Linked DNA regions of Saccharomyces cerevisiae S288C. Changing the gene in region 3 together with the main gene of any one other region gives a genetic interaction. Each region holds a gene or a part of one and is shown on either strand. Other genes may lie near its edges.

The links.
Region 1: mutations in POB3 (region 3) and ESC2 together harm fitness more than expected from each alone (negative genetic interaction), as found in Saccharomyces cerevisiae (3 studies listed by BioGRID).
Region 2: mutations in POB3 (region 3) and RPS0B together harm fitness more than expected from each alone (negative genetic interaction), as found in Saccharomyces cerevisiae (2 studies listed by BioGRID).
Region 4: mutations in POB3 (region 3) and RPH1 together harm fitness more than expected from each alone (negative genetic interaction), as found in Saccharomyces cerevisiae (one large-scale study listed by BioGRID).

The regions. Positions count from the first base shown.
Region 1 is NC_001136.10:1,197,595-1,203,527, forward strand, and holds ESC2 (Esc2p), read left to right. Parts: upstream 1-1,588; coding exon 1,589-2,959; downstream 2,960-5,933. Other genes in the region: transcription factor TFIIIC subunit TFC6, read right to left, coding at 1-1,103; proteasome regulatory particle lid subunit SEM1, read left to right, coding at 4,534-4,803; CDC40 (Cdc40p), read right to left, coding at 5,249-5,933. UniProt on the Saccharomyces cerevisiae protein: May be a substrate targeting component of a cullin-RING-based E3 ubiquitin-protein ligase complex RTT101(MMS1-ESC2). Involved in HMR and telomere silencing via the recruitment or stabilizing of the SIR (silent information regulators) complex.
Region 2 is NC_001144.5:239,343-245,068, forward strand, and holds RPS0B (40S ribosomal protein uS2 RPS0B), read left to right. Parts: upstream 1-2,889; coding exon 2,890-2,979; intron 2,980-3,338; coding exon 3,339-4,007; downstream 4,008-5,726. Other genes in the region: FRE8 (putative ferric-chelate reductase), read right to left, coding at 5-2,065; MLO50 (Mlo50p), read right to left, coding at 4,544-5,726.
Region 3 is NC_001145.3:132,610-138,783, reverse strand, and holds POB3 (FACT complex subunit POB3), read right to left. Parts: upstream 3,285-6,174; coding exon 1,626-3,284; downstream 1-1,625. Other genes in the region: ITT1 (RBR-type E3 ubiquitin transferase), read right to left, coding at 1-1,234; DAK1 (dihydroxyacetone kinase), read right to left, coding at 3,555-5,309. UniProt on the Saccharomyces cerevisiae protein: Component of the FACT complex, a general chromatin factor that acts to reorganize nucleosomes. The FACT complex is involved in multiple processes that require DNA as a template such as mRNA elongation, DNA replication and DNA repair.
Region 4 is NC_001137.3:521,797-528,733, reverse strand, and holds RPH1 (Rph1p), read right to left. Parts: upstream 5,366-6,937; coding exon 2,975-5,365; downstream 1-2,974. Other genes in the region: TFIIH/NER complex ATP-dependent 5'-3' DNA helicase subunit RAD3, read right to left, coding at 1-1,652; adenylate kinase ADK2, read right to left, coding at 2,083-2,760; CCA1 (tRNA adenylyltransferase), read left to right, coding at 6,065-6,937. UniProt on the Saccharomyces cerevisiae protein: Transcriptional repressor of photolyase PHR1. Recognizes and binds the sequence AG(4) in the upstream repressing sequence of PHR1. Derepresses PHR1 transcription when phosphorylated.

The DNA.
Region 1 (5,933 bases), on a different chromosome or scaffold from region 3:
TCCCACACTTCACCAAATGAGTGTACAATGGTTTGAACTTTTACGCAATGTAGAGTAGAAGTATTCATTTTGAAAATTTGTATACAGGAGGAGTGCTTCTCCTTGTCAAACATTTCTAAATGCTCGTTCAAAGGCTCATCCATGTACTGTGATACCGCGACGGCTAAATATTGTATATCCTTGCCTATATCAGTATTTTCCTCTATATTAAGCCATGCAATATCTGTTACCAATCCTCCTACGTTGTAAATAAAGCCGCGCCTTTTGCCGTTAGCAAGCACCGGAAACTCTATTTTATCGCCAGTGGATACCTCTGCATCAACTTCCCCGATAAGTAACTTCAATCTCTTCGTTCTCAATTTGATCATATTCTCAAATTCAGTCTTATTAATTTCATGATATACGGTTCTGTTTTTATCCCCTATGACTTTATTATATGCACTTTCCTTTTTACACGGTGGATCTAAGCATACAAAATATGGAGAATCAGGCTGAATATTCTTGAATGGGAAATCGAAAACGCTAGTTTCAAAGCCTTCCTTAACTTTTGCTAGCAACAATAACTTTTCCTTATTCAGTCCATAAATTCTTTCAATCTTGTCTCTTGCACTCGAAAGATCTTTTAGGAGCCTGATGGGACGGCCCTTCTGTCCTAGACTTGACCCTGGGGAGCTGCTCTTCATATTTTTAGTCGAATTCTTCTTCAAACGAAGTTTCTGTACAGTATTTCTTCTTCCACTGGGTCTAACAGAAGCTCCACTTCCACTACTGTTTAAATCCGCCACCTCATTTTTAGTAGACTCTAACTCATTCTCAAATTCTATCTCAACATTGTCACTTTCCTCACCATCACCTTCATCATTCAATACAAAATCATCATCGTCGGTGTCATCAACATTATTGACTTGTGTAGTATTTATCACATCATCGCGACCAGCATGCACTAATTGTGCGAAATTTGCAACTGCTTTCTTAGATGCGTTTCTCCTCGGCCTTTTACTGCCTGAGTTTTCAGATACTGGGCTTGCCAAGCTATCATAGGGAACTTCTGCTACCACAGATTTTCTAGGTCTTCCTCTTTTCTTTGCCGGTATTACTGCCATCGCCACAACTTAATATATTATTACACGTATCGCAATGGAGCAAGTTAGAGAAATTTCGCTAATGGATCAAAGAGTACTAGCTTTAGTTTTTAGGACATGAAACTGCTCTTACTGAGTAGAAATCAAAGCTTTAACAACTCATCCAGGCTTTCTCGAACAAAAAATGGAATGTTGTTTATCTTCTTTTGCAACGTAGGGTTTTCGAACCGCAGCTTTCCGGGTGATACTGAATCCCTTCTATTTCCTTACAGAAGACAGCAAATTTTATTGTAGCATATAAGAAAAGAAATGACAGGCAGAGGAGGGACCAGCATGCCTATGAATTCCCAATACCATATATCACTTTGACAGCGTATATCGCAATTGAAATAGAACAACTTTTCATTATTACTTCAGAATTCATTTTAAAGTGATTGCGAACACGGATTATAGCCCTGAACAATAAAAGGCAAGAGAAAAAATCATTTGTTTTAGGCTGTTAACAGATGACCGGTGATTCCAGAAGCATCAGCGAACCCTCAATTAATCTAGATCCAGATAATACAAGTTTTTCTGATGAAAACAGCGATGACTTCTTTATGGACAATTCCTATGATATAGATGAAATCGATCATAGCGATGAAAGTAATAGGCAAAGTGTCATAGTTGACTCTAAAGTCACGGTACCGCCATCAAAGCATTCAACTCTAACATTATCTGATAGTGAAGATAGCGACGCAAAGGAACAACATCAGTCCCTGAGCAGATCATCTAGTAAAAATGTAAATATAGAAGATATTACGGAGCCCAAGCCAGACAAACCATCGGGTCGAACTAGAGGAAGATCTGTGATGAAAGAGTCTGTAGTTGAAATAAACTCATCTGAATCTGACTTAGACGAAGACAAAAATTTTCCCAGATCTAGGTCAAGGTCCAGGTCAAGCATAAGATCAATATCTCCAGCGGGAAAATACAAGCGACAGAAAAGTTCATTACTGTATACCTATGATGAAAACGATGACTTTTTCAAGGAACTTGCTAAAGAAGCCAAAAAAAGCACCACTATTTCTAAAGAATCGACACCCGACCAGCGGAAGCGAGTTTATAACATCAAATTTCTCTCTAAGCTAGAAGGAACTATAAATAAAGCGGTCCAAGTGAAGGTCCTCGGAAAATACGAATTTTCAAAAATACTTCCTGCTGCTTTGGACGGATTGATGAAGTCCTATAAAATTCCGAAGGTAATGAAAGATATATACAAGGTAGAGAATGTTACTCTTTATTGGAACAATGCAAAATTACTCACTTTTATGACTTGTAATTCGCTACATATCCCACAGGATTTTGAAAATGAAGTCTCTGATATCGATGTTACTATCGTATCCAAAGAATACGAAAAGAACTTTGAAGCGACACTGGAATCAAAGTTAAAGGAAGAAGAAGCTGCTTTACTCATAAAAGAACGTCAGGAGATGGAAAGGAAGTTAGAGAAAAAGAGAAATGAACAAGAAGAGTCCGAATATCGCGAGTTTGAATCCGAATTAAAAAACGTAGAAGAAACACAAGAAATAAAAGAAAATGATACAGTTATGAATACAAAACTTCTGCAAGAGGGTGGCTCTTTGTCAGGAAATAGTAGTAGCATGGAAGAAGTTATGAGAATCGCTCTCATGGGTCAAGATAACAAAAAAATCTATGTCCATGTTAGGCGTTCAACACCATTTTCTAAAATTGCCGAATATTACAGAATCCAGAAACAGTTACCACAAAAGACGAGGGTTAAATTACTTTTTGATCATGATGAATTGGACATGAATGAGTGTATAGCCGATCAGGATATGGAAGATGAAGACATGGTTGATGTCATTATTGATTGAGCGCAATTTGCTAAAAAAGGCCGAACTCCGGCTCTTTACGTGCCACAATTATTATTTACTATGGGCGGCGGGTGTGTTGGTGGTGCTTGCGGTACTTGTAAAATATTTTCTGAATATAATTGAATAAGACCTTTTGTGTTTAAATCATACTCGGGTAATTCTCTGTTCAAAAAGTAGGTGCTGACCCTCTTCTACCTTCCGTGAAATATTATAAAGGAATTTTTCCATCTCTAACTCAACATGTTAACGCTTTTCTATAAAAATTTGATCGCCTAATGAATACAAAAATCTCTTCAGCTTTTTCGTGCTAGGTTTGAATAGTACATCTAACGTAGAACAACTATCAAAACAATTTGATATTTCCTCGGCTATAGTTTTCTTGGAACAAGAGGTAAACTACTTCTCTATTGTTGCTACAGCAGTCAATTAAAATAATTCGTTTCATCATAATATTATGATATCAACGCTAAAAGGTTGTATAAATTACGAGATCAGCAGAAAATAAAATTCAAGCCATCATCCTTTAAGGTGATTTGAAGGGCAAGAATTGGTAGTGTAACTGCATCAATGAGTGATTAGGTGAAAACGAAGAAAAATAATAAATATGGTACTGTGCAGAATTGTTGATTTTCTTTTTTGAACTCTAAACCATCAAGAATGGCTTTCACCCACTATTGTTACACATAGTACTATTACTTACACCAAGATGGGATCCGACAAATATCTCAACACTATATTGGTCTACATGCTTTATCGATTGCTCCTTATTTACGTATTTCTATAAATAGGGCGTACTTTACCAACAGTGATCATGGATGCAAAAAATGTGAATACATTTATATGGAAAAAAGGTTTATATCAATATATTTTAAAGTGATTGAAAATTACTGATGTGTTTGATATTGTTGGAATAAGAATCAACCATCATATACCCGACTAACGTTCATATTATTAGTAAACTATCATATACAACCTAAGAAGTTGACATAAAGATTGACAAGCAGTTACCATTTTTAGTAGAAGTTGAAAAGCAAGAATTGATAACCAAATATTGTTTTCCAACAATGCAATCCCAACCCTATCTCAATATTCATAGAATTCACTTATTTCTCAGTTTAATACATGATGATGCATCTTGATATTGAGAAATTATATGTATTATCCCTTTTTAACCTTTAAAAGGTCACAAATAAATAGCCTTGTTGGCGCAATCGGTAGCGCGTATGACTCTTAATCATAAGGTTAGGGGTTCGAGCCCCCTACAGGGCTAATAACACATTCAAAATGTTATAAATTTTTTTTCGGGTTTGTGTTTAAAACTAACCTTCTAAAGAAAACAATAAAAATTATATCAACATTTCCTCATGTCTTTGTAACCTACTAGTAGGGATTTTGAAGGGCTGAAAGCTTCTTAGTTCTGTCGGATCCATTATATTATCATTATTTACGAAACTAGTGCTATGGGTGGCGAACGTGGTGGGCGTTACCTTTTAAAGTCCTAATGGAAACCTACCTATGCATAAAGTGAATAGAGTGGCAATAAAAGTCGAATAATAGTACAAATACGCAAAAATATGAGTACGGACGTTGCTGCTGCACAAGCCCAAAGTAAAATAGATTTAACAAAAAAAAAAAATGAGGAAATAAATAAGAAGTCTCTAGAGGAAGACGATGAATTTGAAGATTTCCCCATTGACACATGGGCCAATGGTGAAACAATAAAAAGCAATGCTGTAACGCAAACAAACATATGGGAAGAAAACTGGGATGATGTTGAAGTTGACGACGATTTCACCAATGAATTGAAGGCCGAATTGGATAGATACAAACGGGAAAATCAGTGAGGGGCTACATAACATTATTTCTAAATAACGCAAAAGGAAATTATACGTCTAATGTTACTTTAGTACATTGTTGTCATACTAGTATATTTTGCTTAGATGATAAAATAAATAATAAAAAGAGATACGAAAGGCTATGCGGTAGTCGATTATATGGCCTTGTAGTATAATAATGATGCACGCAAAGTATTAAATAACTCAGCTGAGATTTCTCATTTCTTTAAATGCAGTCTCAGTTTAAAAAATTAACTATATTAAGATCCGCTCTTTCTACCATATGATGCAAATGTGTCCTCGAACTAGTACTTGCAATTTCAGGTAACCCCAATCGTTTCTTTATTATTGTCATTTTTACTATCATAATAATATCATCCGTAATAACAATTAAGTAACAAATCACATCCATGTAACCATTTAATTTGTTTCAAGTAACATTCCGAGTGAATAGCTAGTCACATACATATATCTTACCTGCCGCTCCGCTGCAAATGACTTTACTTGTTTCTTGAGGATGCCAGTCCACTTGAGTTATAGGCTTGTTGCCTGGAATCTTGATGTTATTTAATAAGCGCGACGTATTCCAATCCCAAGTAAATAGTCTGCTTTTTGAATCGCCTGAACATATGTAACGACCATCACCAGAAAAAGCCAAGCTTATCCCATAACCAGCAGATGAATGCCCTTTAAATATCTTTTTTGGATGCCTCTTATATTTGGGTTTCAAACTGAAAGAATATATTCTATTATCCATGCTTTGTGCACAGAAATAGTTCTGAGACGGATGTACATTTAAAAATGGCATAGAATGTTGAGCCGTGTCACTTATTTGTTTTATTGGTACATTGATCTGATTTTCCCAAATTCTTACCGTCTTATCCTCTGAAGAAGAAATAAACTTCGAACCATCGGGAAAATACTTGAGAGCCAGAATGCTACTTAGGTGATGATCATATGTCTGCACAAGACCTTGATTTTCTGAAACACGATCATCATAATGTAATATTTTCGAATTCGATAAACCTACAATGAACTCATGTGGGTTAGTGGGCCGAGATTCAACATCTGCAGGCGTTGAATTAAGGTGCAACCTGGTTTTCACTTTACCAGTTTCAGTATCCCAAATTTTAACGCTT
Region 2 (5,726 bases), on a different chromosome or scaffold from region 3:
ACTCTTATAATGCAAAACTTTCTCCGTGAAAGTGTAAACCACCATCTGTCGCCCATCTTTTGGTGCTTTCAATTAAGCCTCTAGGGCCTGCAGCGAGAACCCATACTTGTGACAAATATTCAGCATGGTCTCTGCCTTGATTCGCCCACCTGCAACATTGAATAGAATCCGTCTCTGCATCACATTCGGTTTGCAGACACCATTCATAATCCTTATCTCCAAGTGTAGGCCTGCCAAAGAACACTTTAACACCTGCGGGAATTCTGATCTTTTTAGGCGCCGCCTCTAAACAAGGATCTTGGGCAGGTGGCTCAATGATCTTTGGTTGTCTGAAAACGCTCGATCCGTTAAACGAAGAATGTGTAGTTAGAGTTCCTTGTGCAGTATTTTTCCTTGATTTGGATCTGCTAAAAGCATATGTAAAATCTATCTCGTCATCAGCATTGATGTCAGGTATATCACTTGTTTTTGGTGGGTGATGGTTTCTCAAGGTAGATTTCTTACTTAGAAGGGCTGTGTTCTCATTGGGCTCCGTAGGTTGGGGATTTCCATCTGATAACATGGAATTATCTCCCAGTTCTGAAACTCGGCCGCTCGAAGAAATACTCCTGACTTCATCATTAATATCAGCAGCGCAGTCATGATAGTCAATATAATCAATTTCTATGTCCTGTTCGTTGCCTTCGGTGCCACTAATATATATCTCCATACCTTCAAAATTGTTTTTGAAGTGGTTCAATACTTCCAGATCCTTATAATCTCTAGAAACCCAAAGGAGCCTAACGTTTACACCGTTGAAGTTTAGAATACGAAGTAGTGGTAAGCCAAAGGAAATTCCTGAACCTCCAACACACATAAACACTCTTTGCGCTTTAATTAGAAAATTTAAAGGCGAATTTATTAGTGCAGAAGAATTGTTTCGAAATGGATTCTTGGAAGATTTCGTGGTAATATTAAAAGGAACAGTAGGTTTAGAAATGAAACTCAACTCAGGTTCAAAAGCCCCTGTAATGTAATACTTTTCATTTGTACGCAATGGAAAATGCCCGTTTCTAATAATTAACCTGACCAAATTATCACTTGGAATACTAGCAATAGTAAAAGGATGTTGGAAGGGTATCAAATGGGAGAAAAACCTCCTTAAAAAATTTCTATGGTAAATGTTGATCCTTAGATGCCCTCCTGGTAGGATGGGCTTTTTGGGTAAATCGGTTAATGGGAACTCCAAAAGAGACAATGATGAAGAAATGGGTACTATCGTAACTCTCGTAACATTGGTGATATGGAGCCTATAGACGATTTGTCCCGTTAATATGAGCACATTTAAAGTGGTATAATATGAAATTCCTGGGCGAGCGTGATAATGTAGAAACACCAAAATAAGCCATGTGCTTACATAGTGAACATAGTAAAAAACTCTGTAGCTCCATCGTCTGGCATATCTCACAGAGGTGATGGCAATCAGTAGGAAAAGGCCGAGGGCAATAACCCCATAAATGTTGGGTAGTTTTCTCATTTTCACGTATAACGTATCATTAATGTACATGTAATAGAGATAGAACCACGTGTGTAGAATAGATTCAAGCACAACAATTCTGGAAATCCATTTGTGGAGAGGTAACAATGCTAAGTATAACGTGTGAGGTAACGGTGATGGCCTCAACGTTAGAAATAGTAAAGGTGGCATCAAAGCAACGGAAATTCTCCCCATTCGCTTAGTAATTTCTAACAGATCTCCGTTAGCGCCTTGTATAACAAAAAACGAGGTGAAAACAAAGCATATTAAACATAGTTGTAGTGACTGTTTGTGATACATATGTGTTTTGTGAACCCATGATCTTCTGTTGAAAACATGATGCTTTAAATGGTGACATATTTTGAAGAATTTGTCAGTTAGCAACAAATAATTCATTAAGGGTATAATAACACATATTATAATGAAAGAAATTAAAAGACATATCTGAGAATATTTGCGGACTCTTAAAGTTCTAAAATGCTTGTCCACGTCGACATCAAAACTGGGAAGATGTTCCTTGAACCAGCTAACGATGGACTTTAAATTCATGCTGAAAATAACAATAAATAAAATACAGTAAACTTTTTTAGCGGAACTTCTATTGTAATTTAACGATTTAATCTGAAGAGATGTAGATGTAATAAAACTGTTAAAGTGGCAACGTGATAATTAAAAGCTTGGCAAAAATAAGAGATCAACACTAGCTTTTTCTTTTTCCACCTAAATTTGAAGGGAAATAAAAAAGAAATTGAGGCTGTACAGAGTGTTAATCTTCCATAACGGATACCACCAAACGTTTTTACCCTAAACTTAAATTTTATTACTTATTTTACATGCATAATGGCTGCCATGCGTAGTTCATACATGTTATTTGCACCCTTTTTCTTTTTCAATAACAAAAAAGAGCTTGGGCATTACGTTTTCAACACTTTTAATATTTCCCTTTTTACATCCGTACATATAAAATGTAAACCCATGCATTCATGACAATTTTACCTATTTCTTAAAGGCCTTTGTCACTTCTTTATGGGAATGGCGCTACTTTAATTTTCCGCCTACTTTGAAAAATTTACCAAGGCGAAATTGAGTGCGCTAGGCGGAAGTTCCAGGGCACGGTCACCGAACCTTTGTGCTGTTTCGAACGAGGGTCCCGCTGGAGGTTGACGGACGCGGGAGGAGCTGGAAAGATGGAATGGAAGGACTGCAACACTCAGTAAGAAGGTTCGTGGTAGGGAACATCACCTTCTCTAGTTCCTGTAAAAATAATATGATCAAGTTTGAATCCTCGTATTGAAAAATCGCGAGTTATTAAGTGTGTAATTTAGAATACCGAAATAGCACAAGAAGAGATAAGATAAGATACTGATAGGATAATGTCTTTACCAGCTACTTTTGATTTGACTCCAGAGGATGCCCAACTTTTGTTGGCCGCTAACACCCATTTAGGTGCTAGAAACGTTCAAGTATGTACACATATCCCATACGATTATGTTCTATAGATGATAATAGGTCTCGAAAAGAATATGTCCCCGATTTAATCATATTTGGAGGTCAGAGGACCAAAGGTAATTTCAGAGGAATTTTGAACACGCCGGGTTTAGAAGAGTTAGAATTTCACTTCTTAGTGAGGGTAAGGAGAAGAAACTCAATAAGAATATACATCCTCGACTGTGTCAAAGATTATGAACTCCGATGAAACAGTAAAACGTCAAAAAATTCCACGGGATATAATTCGGTACTTTATTGGATATGGAAGAAAACATTATATATGCACAAATGAACGCTCTTACTAACATAATTTATCTTTCCTCTCTTTTTTTAGGTCCACCAAGAACCATACGTTTTCAATGCTAGACCAGATGGTGTTCACGTTATCAATGTTGGTAAGACCTGGGAAAAGTTGGTTTTGGCTGCTAGAATTATTGCTGCCATTCCAAACCCAGAAGATGTTGTTGCCATCTCTTCCAGAACCTACGGTCAAAGAGCTGTCTTGAAATTTGCTGCTCACACTGGTGCTACTCCAATCGCCGGTAGATTCACTCCAGGTTCTTTCACTAATTACATCACCCGTTCTTTCAAGGAACCAAGATTGGTTATTGTTACCGACCCAAGATTAGACGCTCAGGCCATTAAGGAAGCTTCTTACGTTAACATTCCAGTCATTGCTTTGACTGATTTGGACTCCCCATCTGAATTTGTTGATGTCGCCATCCCATGTAACAACAGAGGTAAGCACTCCATCGGTTTAATCTGGTACTTGTTGGCTAGAGAAGTTTTGAGACTAAGAGGTGCTTTGGTCGACAGAACTCAACCATGGTCCATCATGCCAGATTTGTACTTCTACAGAAACCCAGAAGAAGTTGAGCAAGTTGCTGAAGAAGCTGCTGCCGCTGAAGAAGGTGAAGAAGAAGAAGTTAAGGAAGAAGTCACTGAAGGTCAAGCTGAAGCTACTGAATGGGCTGAAGAAAATGCAGACAACGTTGAATGGTAATCATTTGAAAACCTTGCAATGTGTGTGAATATTGTAAGGAATTGAGAAAGAGAGATAAAAAAAGAGACAGAAGTATCACTTCCTTTTCTAATTTTTCTTTTTCATTTTTTTTTTAAATTCATCTATCGTTTATCTTTATCTCATATATATTTGCTTCTCTCTGAAGCGTCATCATCTATCTGTATTTTTAATGCAATCATAGTATAAAAATTTTTAACCAAATTCAAAAATTATAATATTTTAAAAGTTTATGCTTTTGTCCTTTTATATTCAAGTCATTTGGCCATTATTACGCTTTTTTTTTTATTAGGTAAGTGGTTTCAATAATTAAATTCTTTAGCGGGAAGGCTGACTATCTATAGTATTGAAGATAAGTTAAATTAATGTTTAGTTCTGATATTTCATTTTTATTATTAATTAAATTTGCACTATTCGCCATGACGGGTTCACCCGAGTATTTATTTTGCTTTCGTTATACATATATATATATATATATTCTTCCAGGAGAAATACCTGCCTTCTCTCTTACCCCTTGCTCAATCTAAATCAATCCGTGACCTTAAATCTTCTAGCAGAATGACTAAGTCACAATCGATTTTAGAAATTTGAATAACCAGCTCAGAGATATTACTGACAAAAAACTTGTAATGGCACTGTTTTAGCAAGTTTAAGATAAATGTATCCATTAAGAAAGCATTGATTTTATTCGGACCATAATAGGTAGTCACTATTAGAATATCTAAAAGTTCTAGACCAATACCATCTAATTTGTGCTTATTCAATGCGTTGGTCATAAAATTTCTTATTACAGGCTTGATGAAATCCATTATCACATTTAATTTCAACTTGTCCTTTAAATGGTAGTATAAGTTAGGAAAGTCCTGATAGAACTTCCCCTCAGTAACCGTGTAAGAATTCTTGTTGTCCTTATTGTCATCGAAACGACTATTCAACCAGGTAACGTTTTTCGTCAAATTGATGAAAATAGACCGGGATAGAGTTTCCTGCTCTTCGTTGTTACAACATTTCCTTATTGCTAGATACAATGAGTTGTTCGCATACTGACTGAAAAATCCGGCTTCGTCTAGTTCGCTATAGTGATATAAACATCTCTTGTATATTGGAAGACGAAAATCGTTCGGTATCCCAAACCAATATAAGTTATGCTTACTTATCACCAACAGCAGGTCCGTCTCATCGCCAGATGTATGACAACTTCTCAAATTGCTCCAAAACTTTTCCAATTTTAGTTCTCTTCGAAATAAGTTTCTATTTTGAAACTTTAAATTTAAGATGTTCCTCTTTGTTTCCGATTTAATGAGGTTTTGTATGGATGGATCAGTATGAGTGCACAAGGTTTCATCGTTATTATTGGCAATTAATGATAACGATTCTTTTTCACTATTGATTTTCCTTTTATTTTCCTGAATCAAAGAATCTACACTCAAATTTTTTTGTGGTCTAATGACTAATGAAGATGATCCTGATGAGTTCCTGTTGTTGTTTGGAGTAAACAAACCATCAGAAAACACAGAAGACGCAGAAGAAGATGAAGAAGAGTACATCGTTGATCTGTGATTCGGCGAAGGGGCCACAGGACTCCCCTGAGAGTTTGCTCGAGGAATGGCAAAGTTGTCTATTATGGGGACAGCATAACTAATGAGATTAGTATCTTTATCTATTGTTGTGTCCAGAATTGTTGTCCAATCTGTGGTCCCG
Region 3 (6,174 bases):
TTCTTTCTACAACTACCTTACACTTTGGACATCGCTGCAAATTCGAACCCTCTTTTTTAATCGCTAAATCTAACATTTTTTCAGCAAGGTAATCATTGACTTCAAGTTCTAATACTCTTCTCCCATATTTTGCCTCCAGTTTCCGCTTTCTCTCATATGAAGTAACGGTATCATCTAGATATTCCTCAATAATATCGGTCGATAACGAAACTTTCTTGCCACATTTATTGTTGTAACCATGCCAGGCATGCAAGCAGTCAAAGCAAAATACAAAATGACATTTTTGACACTGAATCATCGCATCATCGAGGTCTTCTTTTGTGCACCAACTATCACATCTTCGACAAGTCACACAAGCATACGGACAATATTTTGAGAGTCTTGTAGCCGCCTGGTTGTAGAACATTTTTTCGTATCTTTCACATAGCTCTGTATCGATAACCTCTTTTAAGAAGGACACTGGAATCAAAGGTGTAAACAATGCCTTCAGCATTTTTTTATAGCTCTTGAAATCTTCTAGTTTTAATTCTTTGTATTCGCATTGTGGACATCTTACACTGGATATTCGGTTTTCCTGAATCATTGCAGTGAAATAAGATTTGGCGCATCCTCTGCAAAGATAGTGTTCTACATTCGCATTTTCACATGGCAATTTGATCATTCTAACACCCTTTTCCATTTCCATACAAATACAACAATGGTAGTTAGATCTGCTCACTTTTTGGAGGGTGGCTTCCTCACTTATCTGCTTAAACAAGTCATACTGATCCTGTGTCAGGCACTTTCTTATTCCATTAGGGAATAGTAATATAGCTGTATCATCTATAAGAAACCCAAAGATGAGGATAAGGATGGAGGTAAACGAATCCGCGAACTCAATACTCATATCTACAGTTTCTTCAACGAGTCTCAGCGCTTTGTCAATTAACATCTTCTTTTCATCTGTTGATATCCATAAGGATTTGATATCCATAACAACACACCGTCGAATGTCCGGATAATGACAGCTATATATGGTGAACTCCACGCATTCATTAGATAAGTTTGAAAGTAACATATGTTGCTCGCCGAACTCAATATTTACATCGGCCAATAGTGATATCTTGAACAGTAACTTTCCGTTAATTCTTTGAGGGAATTCACCTTCCTCCTCTACTTTTACCGATTTCATTTCCAGTTCTGGGTACATATCTCTTAATATTTCCAAATCATTTTCAAACTGAGTCAAAGCCATTTTACTCCCTGGTCTTTCATCAGTTATATTAGTTTTCTGTAATTCGTTATTCTACACCATGACATAACTTACTGGTGACTAAATGAGAAAAGCAAAGTCCCTTTCTCTTGCTTGTTATTTATTTTTGAACCCTTTACACTATTTGTCTTTTTTTCATCACCCAATCGAAAAGTTGAAAGTATTTTTCAAGCATTGAAAGGGTAGAGGAGATTAACAAAACATAAATATTTTGCAAAACAAAACCAATTTCAAATAAATGTATAGAATAACACCAGTAATTAAGAGGTGGTGTCTTACACTCACCATGTCATGATAATATCAATTGGCAAAATATATTAGTTAGTTTTTACACAATATCAATAAATTTAACTTATACAGTCTAAAATTATTACTATTCTACCTTAGGCTTCTTCGAAGGCCTTTCTTCGTCGCTACCCCCCTCAGCATCACTTAAAGCCGCATCTGAATCAAACTCTTCTGCAACTTCGTCTGCGTCATTATCAGAGCTGACCTGAAAATCCTCATCTACTGATTCATCATCTTCACCAGCGGAACCCATATTAATATCCTCTTCGTCACTGTCTGAACCTAAAGCGGTTTGTAACCTTTCTTGTACCTCTCTATCTTCATTCTTCACCCTTAGGTTTTTAGACTTTAGGAATTGTTCCAATAATTGCTGCTCTTCCTTACTGATGTTGGCAAAAGTGGTAGAACCTCTATTTGAACGCAGTACCACTTCCAAATCAAACGTCCTCGATGACGTAGAAGTTTGTCCTGCTCTTGAAATGTTTACCATGCTAACATCACTGAATGGTATGTACAAAGTTGGCTTAGTTAAAAAGAAGAAAGCGTTATCTAATGGATACAAATAACCTTCGTTTGCTTTGAAAGAACATGAAACTGCACACTGATCATATTTGGATTTATATTCTCCAGGAACAATGACTCTACGGTCAGTCAGACCTTTTAATACATGACTTAAAACTATATGAGTTTTAGCATCATATTGTTTTTTCAATTTATCCTTATAATTTTCCTCATAATCTTCATCTTCTAGATTCAATTGCACTTCTGTTTCCTCATCTTTCTGAAATTGTAAGACAAGAAAGGGGTAGGTGGTCTGTCCTTGACGTAAAGGAGGTTCAATTGCCAAAACCAATAAGTGATGGATATCATCTGCCTTTGGTAACGAAACAATTCTTTGTATTTGACGATGTTGCAATTTGTATTCATAGGTCTTACCCCTGAGTCTAATGGAGTTCTTGTAAATATCGATATCATAACGACCTCTTGGCGTGGTAAAAAAGACGTCTTGGAAGGAAACTATTGCATCACCAGCGACTTCCCCGATGTCTGCCTTTTCCTTTAGTTCTTCATAGAATGCTTCTGCCATACTCTTTTCCTCTACTGCCATTTGTACATCTTCTCCTTCAGCACCATCTTCTTTCTTTGGTACGACCTCGTTGCTTGACTCTTCCTTTTTGGTCATGTTTTCATCGACGTTTGTTTGAATAACACCAGGAATATAGAACCTCATCTCTACCAATTCGTCACCGGCTGGTTGGTACTCTTCATCTTGAATATTAAATTCTATTCCTACTTCATTTTTAGAGGTCAAATTTGTATTATTTATTCTAGCATAAGGAATTTCAAAAGTTGGTTTACCATTTAAAGCAAAAACCATTTCATTCCTGGCAAGGTCTGTCTTACCCCAGTTCCAACCACGTAAGGAATGTTCTCTTTGCTCTACCTGAATATTAAAACGGCGATGGAAATCATTCTTGATTAAGTTATAGTCATCCTGAGAAAATCCATCTAGTTGGATAACACCTTGATTTTTGGTATTTATCTTCAAGTCGTAACCCCTGCAGCCCCTACTCCATTGGACGGTAGATAATTCTGTGGCTGGTAATAAAAATGGTTTTCTTGCCTGATTTGCTGCAGAGCCACCACTGGTACTAATTTTCCACCCTAACCCAGAATCAGCAATACGGAATCTACCGCTAAATTTAGATTGGTTCAAGTAAATTCTATCAAAGTCGGTACTCATAATTCTTGTTCAACAATACTAGATTGTTCCTTCACTTGTTAACGGTATTTCCTTCTTGTTCTTACCACCGATTCAACATCTAGCTACTCTCATACTATGTATATCTCTGACACTCGCGTTAACATTTCACCAGTTTAACGATTCGTTTCGCGTTGAACCGGGTTATACAATCGTTCTTCGCGATGATAATAACAATAACTCCAAGAAAAGTAAGCTTTTTCTATATATATATATCATAAGTATCTTGATATGTATTCGTGAGCCAAGTACTTACAAGGCGCTTTGAACCCCCTTCAAAAACTCACATAGGCCTACTGCACCAGGATCTTCTACTTGAGATGAATCGCCGACATACGAAGCTCTGCCAAATTTGGCCTCGAATGTAGCAGTGGATTTAGCACCTTCCTCTGCAGCTTTTACCGCCTTATTGAAATCCTTAGATGCAGTAAATTCTTTAACGAATGGTTCTAAAGCATCAATCATGGTGGATGATCCCTTCCTTGCCTTTGTATATTTGTATAAAGTATCCAATGCAATTCCGAGTGACTTAGCCACAATTTCCTTAGTGACGGGTTCATCCTTTGATTTACAAACCTGAATTAATCCGTGTGAAAAACCCGACAAAAGAATAGAATATAAACCACCAGAAGTACCTCCCATTGAGCCTTCAATGAAATCTGAAATTTGGGCAACCGCCTGAGATAATGAGTCCTTCGACAGCTTGTCAAGGTTTTCGGTGATGCCTTTAACTCCTGCCACTAAAGTGTAACCACAATCACCATCACCAACTTGATTGTCTAGTTCCGTAATGTGCGGTTCGCTCTTGATAACTTGTTCAGCACCACTCTTCATCCACTCAGCAAACTTGTCAAAGTCATAGGTACCGACGGCCTTTGCTGTTACTTCATTATGTAACAAGTCATCGTTAACAGATGGGGCAGAAGTCTTTTCAAAATCTGCAATTGGCCAGCCCGGTGCGTTCGTAAATGCGTTCAACAAGTCTAGTACTGATTTGATCTCCTCAAAATCAGATTGCAAAGCCTTTGTAGCCTTAGTGGCGTTTAGTAATGTGATACTGAACCCATTACCATTGAAGGAGGTCATCAATGTGCCAGCAATTGTTTGAACCGGGGTTATGTTGTAATTTTCCTTTAAGAAATCCGTAGTTTTGGAAGTGATAGAACTAATAACAAAATTAGAAACACCGCCGAGATTGTTAACTAACAAGACAACTTCATCATCTTCATCAAACTTTACAAAAGCTCTATCCTTATCGTTTGGATCCAATAGTTTTGGTAGCATATACTTGGAGATCAAGTCTTCGGTAGAAGGAATAGGGTCTAAAACTTTCACACCAGGTTCGTTATGAATACCCATACCCAATTCCATTTGTTTTTCGTTTAATTCACTTTCGAATTTCCTGCCAGGAACTTTACAATGGTCTAAAGAAGATCCAATGGTCACCAAATTGTCGTTGATAATTTTAGCCACTTTAGCTGTACCGTCTAAGCCATACTTACTAGAATATTCTTCTGCGAAGGCACCTACAATCTTATGAACCAAAACGGTACCTGCCAATGCTCTTCTACCAACCATACCACCCTTTTCTCTGCCAACTGCAACATCATCACCTATGACAGCAACGCGGCAGTTAATACCCAAGGCTCTTGCTCTCTCAGCGGACAGACCAAAATGCAAAACATCACCTGTGTAGTTCTTCACAATCAATAAAACGCCAGACGCATTTTCATTGACTAAACGGATTGCATTTAAAATCTGTTTTGTTGAAGGGGATGCAAAAATTTCGCCAACCACGGCGCCACTCAACATACCCTTACCAATGAAACCGGCGTGTGTAGGTTCATGTCCACTACCACCACCAGAAATTAATGCGATCTTGTCGGAATCGGTCTTTCTGAAGAGAATTTTTTCTTCAGGGACCAGCGTAATGGAGGGGTTAGCAAGGGCAAACCCTTTGAGACTTGAATTGACTGGATCTGTGACTTCAAACGATTTAGCGGACATTTAAAATTTAGTCTTAGATATAGAATGTAATCTTATTCTTTGATGTGTTCGTTTACAGTTGCTACAAATAGTGACTACTTGTAGCGAAGTTGAAGTGATTTTCTCCTTATATATTTATTCATCAGTTAGTTCGACAGACGCTCGCGAGGTGGCCACTCTTTCAAAATGACGCAATTGGGAGTGGTTTGATCTTTCTCCCTTAGAAGCCAAATTGGCAAGCACTCACTCCGGGCCAGATTTACACCATGTTTGTAGCGCATTTAAATCAGGAAATGCATTATATTTCACTCTCTCGTCTAGCGAGTCTTAATGTTCATGACGGGGGAGCTTTATGCCTTGTTTTTTATCACAGCGCCAGACAATTGACAGTAACAAATAAAGGCAAAAAACCCTTGAATAGCACCAGAGGTGTTTACTGATTGCTTTTAAAGTACGTATAAAACTGTAAAATATAGATTAAATTCGACCGCCATTACTTTAGAGTTGAAATTGGGAAGCCGTATATTGCCATTTCAGCCATGCTTCTATGGTTCCTAATGGAAGCATGAATGACATACGCAATTTGATGAGCTTGAAAAGGGCGTAATTGACAAGCCAGATTTGAATCTAATCCCTTGAGAAATTATCTGCAAGTAGTAAAAAAATCTCTAAAAGATGTATAATTGAGTCGCCTAGAGACCTCATTCATCATGATATTTGACACCTTAATTTTGATAGTAGCGGGTCAGTCATTAAGAAGAAAGTGAGCTGGGGCTAATCATCAACGATCTCCCATAATTACGTACGTCAAAGACAACACGTTGGCAAAGGTAAGAAGAACGTAGTGCGTATCATGCTTACGGTGAATTTCACCCTTTTTTTCTGT
Region 4 (6,937 bases), on a different chromosome or scaffold from region 3:
ACAATACTTTCCATATATAGATATGAGGGGAAAAAAACAACCATTCCATCAGGTGTGATCTTGGCAAACTCTACTAGCATAGAACCGTAATTACGAACAATACTAGGATCGTTTCTGATTTCAAATCTTGAAGAAATTGCAACTTGATCAGAACCCTTGGTAATAATCATTGGTAGAAATGATTTTTTGGCTAAGGTCATGGCATATGATTTTTGTAAAACAGTTTTAAAGTTTAACATTCTTGGATACATGTCTAATGGTGATATGGTCCCTGAAGTGATAATAACGGAAGAAAATCTCTCAAAGACTGGTTTGATGGCAATCGATGCATCTAAGCAAGTAAATCTCATAATCGGATTCGGAACTGCAGCATTTTCGATTTCATACGGTTCAATAATTAGTAAAAACCCTTCCTCATATGTTGATATAAGAGTAGCAAAAGTTGCTATGTCTTTCAATGCAGTAAAATCTTCTACCTCTGTAACTTCTAAAGTTCTTACAAGTAATGATAGCCTTTCTGAGCAAAACCGAAGAGGTTTCCTTTCTATGAAAGTTAACTGTTTTAAATGCTGTAGAAATGATTTTGGCGTTTCTGAAATAACGTGAAGAACTTTCATTCTGGTCTTCAGATATTCTATCAATCTTTTCAAAAATGAAACAAAATGCTCGGCTCTTCGTATATTTCCCGGGATTGCTTCTGTTAGAAGATCTTGGGGCAATACAGGTGTTTCCACAAATGGCTCTTCCTGGTCGGTAAGAATATCTGCAGAATGGAGACCTTGAACTAGTTTTTCGTATTCATCCTGTAATTTCTGTGAGTCAACCTTTCTGACCTCAGAAATACGTTCATCTAACGCATTAGCACCTCGTGTGGCTCTTCTCAATGCATCCGTTGTCAAGTCTAATGACAGCGATTCGATACACACATTATCAATATTGTGCGCTTCATCAAAAATGACAATGCTATCTTTAGAAACCTCGTTGGAAACTCTTTCAGCAATTTTAGGATCTAATAGATAATGGTAAGAATAAATAATAATGTTACAAAGAGAAATCATACGACGAACAATAAAATATGGACAAAGTGTTTTTTCTTCGCAGTATTTCAAAAGTTTTTCAAAAGAAAATACGCCTTTTGGAAGATAATCCTCTACTTCAATATTGTACAAATTCTCATGGTATTCACACAATTCTACATTTGCCTCTGGATCCTCTTCTAATTTTCTCTTCGCCTGCCCATTTGTCATTCTACGGCACTTTTCATCGACTACTGTACCTTTTCGTTCCTTACTCACTTCGGGATGCAAACACAAATTTTTTCTTGATGTCAAGCCAAGACCTCGAAAATCCTCTTGATAGCCTAGTTCTTTAGTTCTGTAATCCATAAGGTTCTCTAACTCTACTAAAGCTTTTTCAATTTCAGACATAGTACGAGAACAATATATGATCTTTCTATGTTCTGGGTAGTGCATCTGGTAGGCAATTGTGAGGGATAGTAATGAGACCGTTTTACCTGTTCCTGAAGGCATCTCCAAGATACTATTTCCACCTACATCCAGAGTCTTTTTAATATCGCACATATAATTATACTGCTCTGGATATATCTTGGGGTATGGAAAAAGCACTGGTAAATCATCTATATAAAACTTCATTGTTTCCAATCTTCTTAAAGTGTAGTCAAATCGGGCCGATTATCACCTTCAACCCAAGATGAAATATAGTATTTCTATGAATGGCTAACAGTACTTTGTCAACTTTAAGATATACATATATATATATTTATTTATTATTTACAGACCAGAGATTTCTTTTCAAAAGCTATGTAGCATAAAGTACGCTACTTTAATTTTTCATAAATTTCATATACATCGCTTAAATGCCGTCGGCCATGATTAATATAGGATTAACTCATATCATAAAGGCTATTCAGAATATTCAAAGTGAACTGTAATCATTTGGTTGACGAGATGCTGACTTCCAACTAGAGTCACGGTTTTTCAAAGTCTCGGGGAAGGTTAACATATACTTGCAGTTAGTGTAGCGTTAAATCACCCTATTAGCCGAATTTGCTGGTTATAAGGTTCAATAATTTCGGAAGATAATATCTGATGTTTCCCCAGAGACGGTACCAAAAATCCCACTTTTTTTGTAATAATCTTTTAAAGGCTCATTTGTTTTCTTGTACTCTTCTAGCCTTTTTTTAAACACTTCCGCTGTGTCATCAAGCCTCTTGGTCAATGGTTCTCCGGTGATATCGTCTAATCCTGGCACTTTGGGAGGATTATATTGTAAGTTATACACTCTCCCACTAGGAACGTGAACATATCTGTTCTCGATCCTTTCTAATATGGTGGATTCGGGTACATCTAGCTCTACCACTAGATTCAAGCTGGCGTCATGCTGTTTCAGCAGCTCGTCTAAGGCAGAAGCTTGCGCAGTAGTTCGAGGAAATCCATCGAGCAACCACATGGCAGATGGTTTTAACCAACCCAATGCCGAAAGACGAAAAGTTATCAGACGCGTTATGAGATCATCCGGTAATAACTTGCCTTGAGCAATGTAGGTAGTAGCCTCTCGGCCTAGGGTAGATTCAGATTTTATTTCCTGACGTAAAATGTCGCCTGACGAAATTGAAGATAATTGTGGAATTTGCTTTAGTAATCTCGAAGTCTGTGTCCCTTTACCTGACCCTGGAGCCCCCAATAATAAAAGTCGAAGAGGTTTGAGTAGATGTGTTATTTGTTTCGCGTCTGCTTTCATTGATGCTTGCTAACCCTGTTCCTGAAAATTTAAAGATTTACAAACAAATATATATACGTATATTATCCTTTTCTACACATGTGTATCTATATAATGATGGTTATTGTAATGGTATTTATTAGTGAATGTGGGTTTTCGCGAATTCCCGGCCGACCGAGCACATTTTAAGAGCCTTCAAAATGAGAGATCTCGGTAAACAACTGGCAATCGTGAGTCAGTTTAAAGGTGTACTCTGTTGATTAATGGCCGCTTTCCCGTCCTGCGGTTGCACTGTAGGGTTCATTATTGGAGCATCTACTGTTGTTTCGTTTGAAATACACGGTATTTTCTTATTCAAGTGCTGCAGAACGTGATCTCTCCTTTTAAATCTTTTGCCACATTTGGGACAAGAATGAGGTTTCTCACCAGAGTGGACGGATTTTTTGTGTCTTGTAAGATGGTGACCAGAAGAGAACTTTCTTTGGCATTCCTTACAAATATAAATCTTGTTCTTACCTGATAACACGATTTCTTCGGGCGCAAACTTAGAGTTTAATGGAGAAGAGCCTTGTTCTTTGTCCAGATCGTCATTTCGGCTTGTAAAAGAATCCTCTTGGCGAGTGGATGCAACCTTTGAAAGTATAAGATTTGATTTTGATGTCTCGACAGGAGATTCCTTTTTGAGTATTCTATTTGCTGTCTTGTGATTTGGTCTTTCAGGGTGCGGTGTTTTTATGTCGTTTGTGTCACTCAGTGGCCCGAGCACAGAAGTAGAGAGATTTGACACGGTTGATGGTGTGGAGAATGAATGTTGTTGCGAATGTTGTTGTCTTGCCTCGTAATTCAGAGCTATAGGGCTTCTTGACGATTCCCTGGATATATTTAATGTTACAATGTTGGGAGACTTAACTCGTTTTATCAGCGATATATTTGGATTCACTGGAGAATGTGGAGCCGAGTGAGATATCCCGCTAATATTCTTGTTAGAGATATATAATAAAGGGTTCAATCCAGATGGTCCATTAGGTCGCGGGAAGGCAAGAGTATTGTTTGTCATGTCAAGCAATGGTTGGGCATTTGAGAGTTCATTAGATGAATTCAATCTTGACAGTGGCAACCTCGGAGAAGACGCCGCACTGTTTGCCATTGAAGTAAGGCTCATGGCCACTATGTTGTCTTCGTGATCTGTGAGCATCGCCGTTTGCGAAGTTTCTCTTTTCAAAAGTTTGTTTAAGGGCTGTTCTTGAAAAGAAGAGATTCTTTTTAATTTCAAAGTTGGATCTTCTAGTGTGGGCTCGACAATGTTGGAATAATCTTTCATACGTGATAATAAGGGAGAAGAAACACCAGAGCTCTTGGATTTAAAGTTTGAAAAATGACCCACATCTGGGCTTGTAGATCTAAGCGAGCTGCTTTCCATTTCTTTTAAAGTTGGCCTGTGAAGTAAGGGCATGGCAGGATTGGGTAATTGATTGAGGGGTGGCGTTCCTTTCGACTCTTTATTATTGTCCCTCCAAGATTTAGCGAGTTTCTTAACATCTATTTCCACTGAGTCTGAAATGCAGTGGCATTTTCCAGCTTTCTTCCCAATCGGTAGCCACTCCTCCAAAGCAAAGTTGACGGATTCTGCCAAGTTATATCCATAATTGAACCCTGCATGGTAACCATAGGGATAAGTGATCATGAATTCGCCTTCATGGTGGACAATTTCATTGCATCGTATGCCATTTTCCTGCAGCAGTTTGGGCGAAGCCAAAAACATTTTATGTCTTAAAAATTCAGGACAATTTTTGGCTTCTTCGGGAAATTGCTCCTGCATGAATTTGTAGAATTTGAACCTATCCTCTTGCGGTATCGAATACCACTGTTTTGGGGCACCGAAATGAATATAATTTATGGAATACAGGTCCTGATCTTCCAAGTGCCAAGAAAAAGAAGCCTTCCATAGACCAGCGTATAGATAGGAGTCATTCACCCCAGGAACCTTTGTTTCCATATGGTCCAAGATGTTCGGTAGTTTGGCAACATTCCAAACGTTCAGCCCTTCAGGAAAGATTGATCCTGGTGTATCTGCGCCGTACATAGGCGTAGTAAAATTTAGCGTTTTCCAATAATACTCTTCCAAGAACTTTAATCTCTCCGTATTTTGGAAGTCAGATAAATCTATTGTATACTCCGTCCTGAACTGTTCAAAATCATCAATATTAAAAGACGATTCAAAATTTTTCAGTTTCAACTTCGTGGATTTGGAAACGGAGCCTTTCCTAGAATTACGTCTTGCTTTAGGATCCTCCGGAGGCACATAGTCCTTAGAAAGATCTTTCCACTGTATAATGTTATAGGTCTTGTTTTTCTCCACGTTCTGCACCATAAAAAGACCTTTATTACCAGAAATATGCTGCTGAATAGGTGATTTAATCTTGATCTTTTGGAGCGTTTCCGCAGAATAAGGCAGATCTAATTTGTCTTTCCATTCTTTAGGTGGGATTACTTTCACAACACCACTTTTCATGCCATATTTGTTTATGGCCTTGCAGTATGCATAGAAATCTTCGAATTGCTCGTATGTGGGTTTGAAGACGGGCACTCCGCCCACGATTTCTGAAGGAGCGATTAGTTTCGTCATGATTTCACGCAACTGAATATCCTCACCAAGACAGTCTTATTCTTTTTTTCCCTTTTTTTTATCTGTTTATTTTTCTCCAGCAGATCTATAAAATAAGTGGTACTAATAGAAAGGTTAAGTCCCCCTATTTTAAAATAATGCTGATAGAATGATTAAATTGGCCGCTTGATGAAAACCGCAAGTAGCTACTTCAGGGACAAGCAACGCCTTCGATGCGAATATATGTTTTGCTGATAACGATCTATGTACAGCGTCTGCAATTCTCTTAAAATTATCGCCTTGCCATTGTTACTTAAGGAGTCTATGTGATTAATTGCATGGCGATGAGGTTACCCTTGAAAAATATAGAAAAGATTTTTCCGAATAAAAAGAAAGTAAAACTAAAAAAAAAAAAAAAATGGAAAAAGAAAAAGAAACGTTTAGGGGAGAGGAGGGCTGCGGTTAAGGCTTATGGGGTGTATGGGCGGGGGAAATAGGGCATACTTTCTCGATTCACCAAACCCTTAGGTCATCTGATTTTTAGGGTTGTGTTCTTGTCGTTACTCAGCCCTAAAAAACATTCGTTAGGGTTGAAAAGTTGAAAAATGAATCGCAAAAATCTACCATATTAACAATGTACTAAAGGAAACTACATAATACATCGCAACGCTTCCCTCGAGATTAATTCGTATCCGTGGGTTATAAGGGCTTTTTTTGTGTATGCTACGGTCTACTATATCTCTACTGATGAATAGTGCTGCTCAGAAAACGATGACGAATTCTAATTTTGTTCTAAATGCACCCAAAATCACCTTAACCAAAGTGGAACAGAACATCTGTAACTTGCTGAACGATTATACAGACTTGTACAATCAAAAGTACCACAATAAGCCTGAGCCATTGACTCTTCGGATCACGGGCGGATGGGTGCGTGACAAGCTTCTGGGACAAGGTTCTCACGACTTGGATATTGCCATCAATGTGATGTCAGGTGAGCAATTTGCTACTGGTTTGAACGAGTATTTGCAACAACATTACGCCAAATATGGAGCCAAGCCTCATAATATCCACAAGATTGACAAGAATCCCGAGAAATCCAAGCATCTGGAAACTGCCACTACTAAGCTCTTTGGCGTTGAAGTGGATTTTGTCAATTTAAGATCTGAAAAGTATACTGAACTTTCCAGGATACCTAAAGTGTGCTTTGGCACACCCGAGGAAGACGCTTTAAGAAGGGATGCTACATTGAACGCTCTTTTCTATAACATTCATAAAGGTGAAGTGGAAGATTTCACCAAGAGAGGTCTGCAAGATCTAAAAGATGGCGTTCTCCGTACTCCGCTTCCTGCAAAACAAACATTTTTGGATGATCCCTTGAGGGTTTTGAGGTTGATCCGTTTTGCTTCTAGATTCAACTTTACCATAGATCCGGAAGTGATGGCTGAAATGGGCGATCCTCAGATTAATGTTGCATTCAATTCAAAAATTTCTAGAGAGCGAGTTGGTGTGGAGATGGAGAAAATATTAGTAGGACCAACCCCTTTATTGGCTTTGCAGCTGATTCAAAGGGCTCATCTTGAAAATGTTATCTTT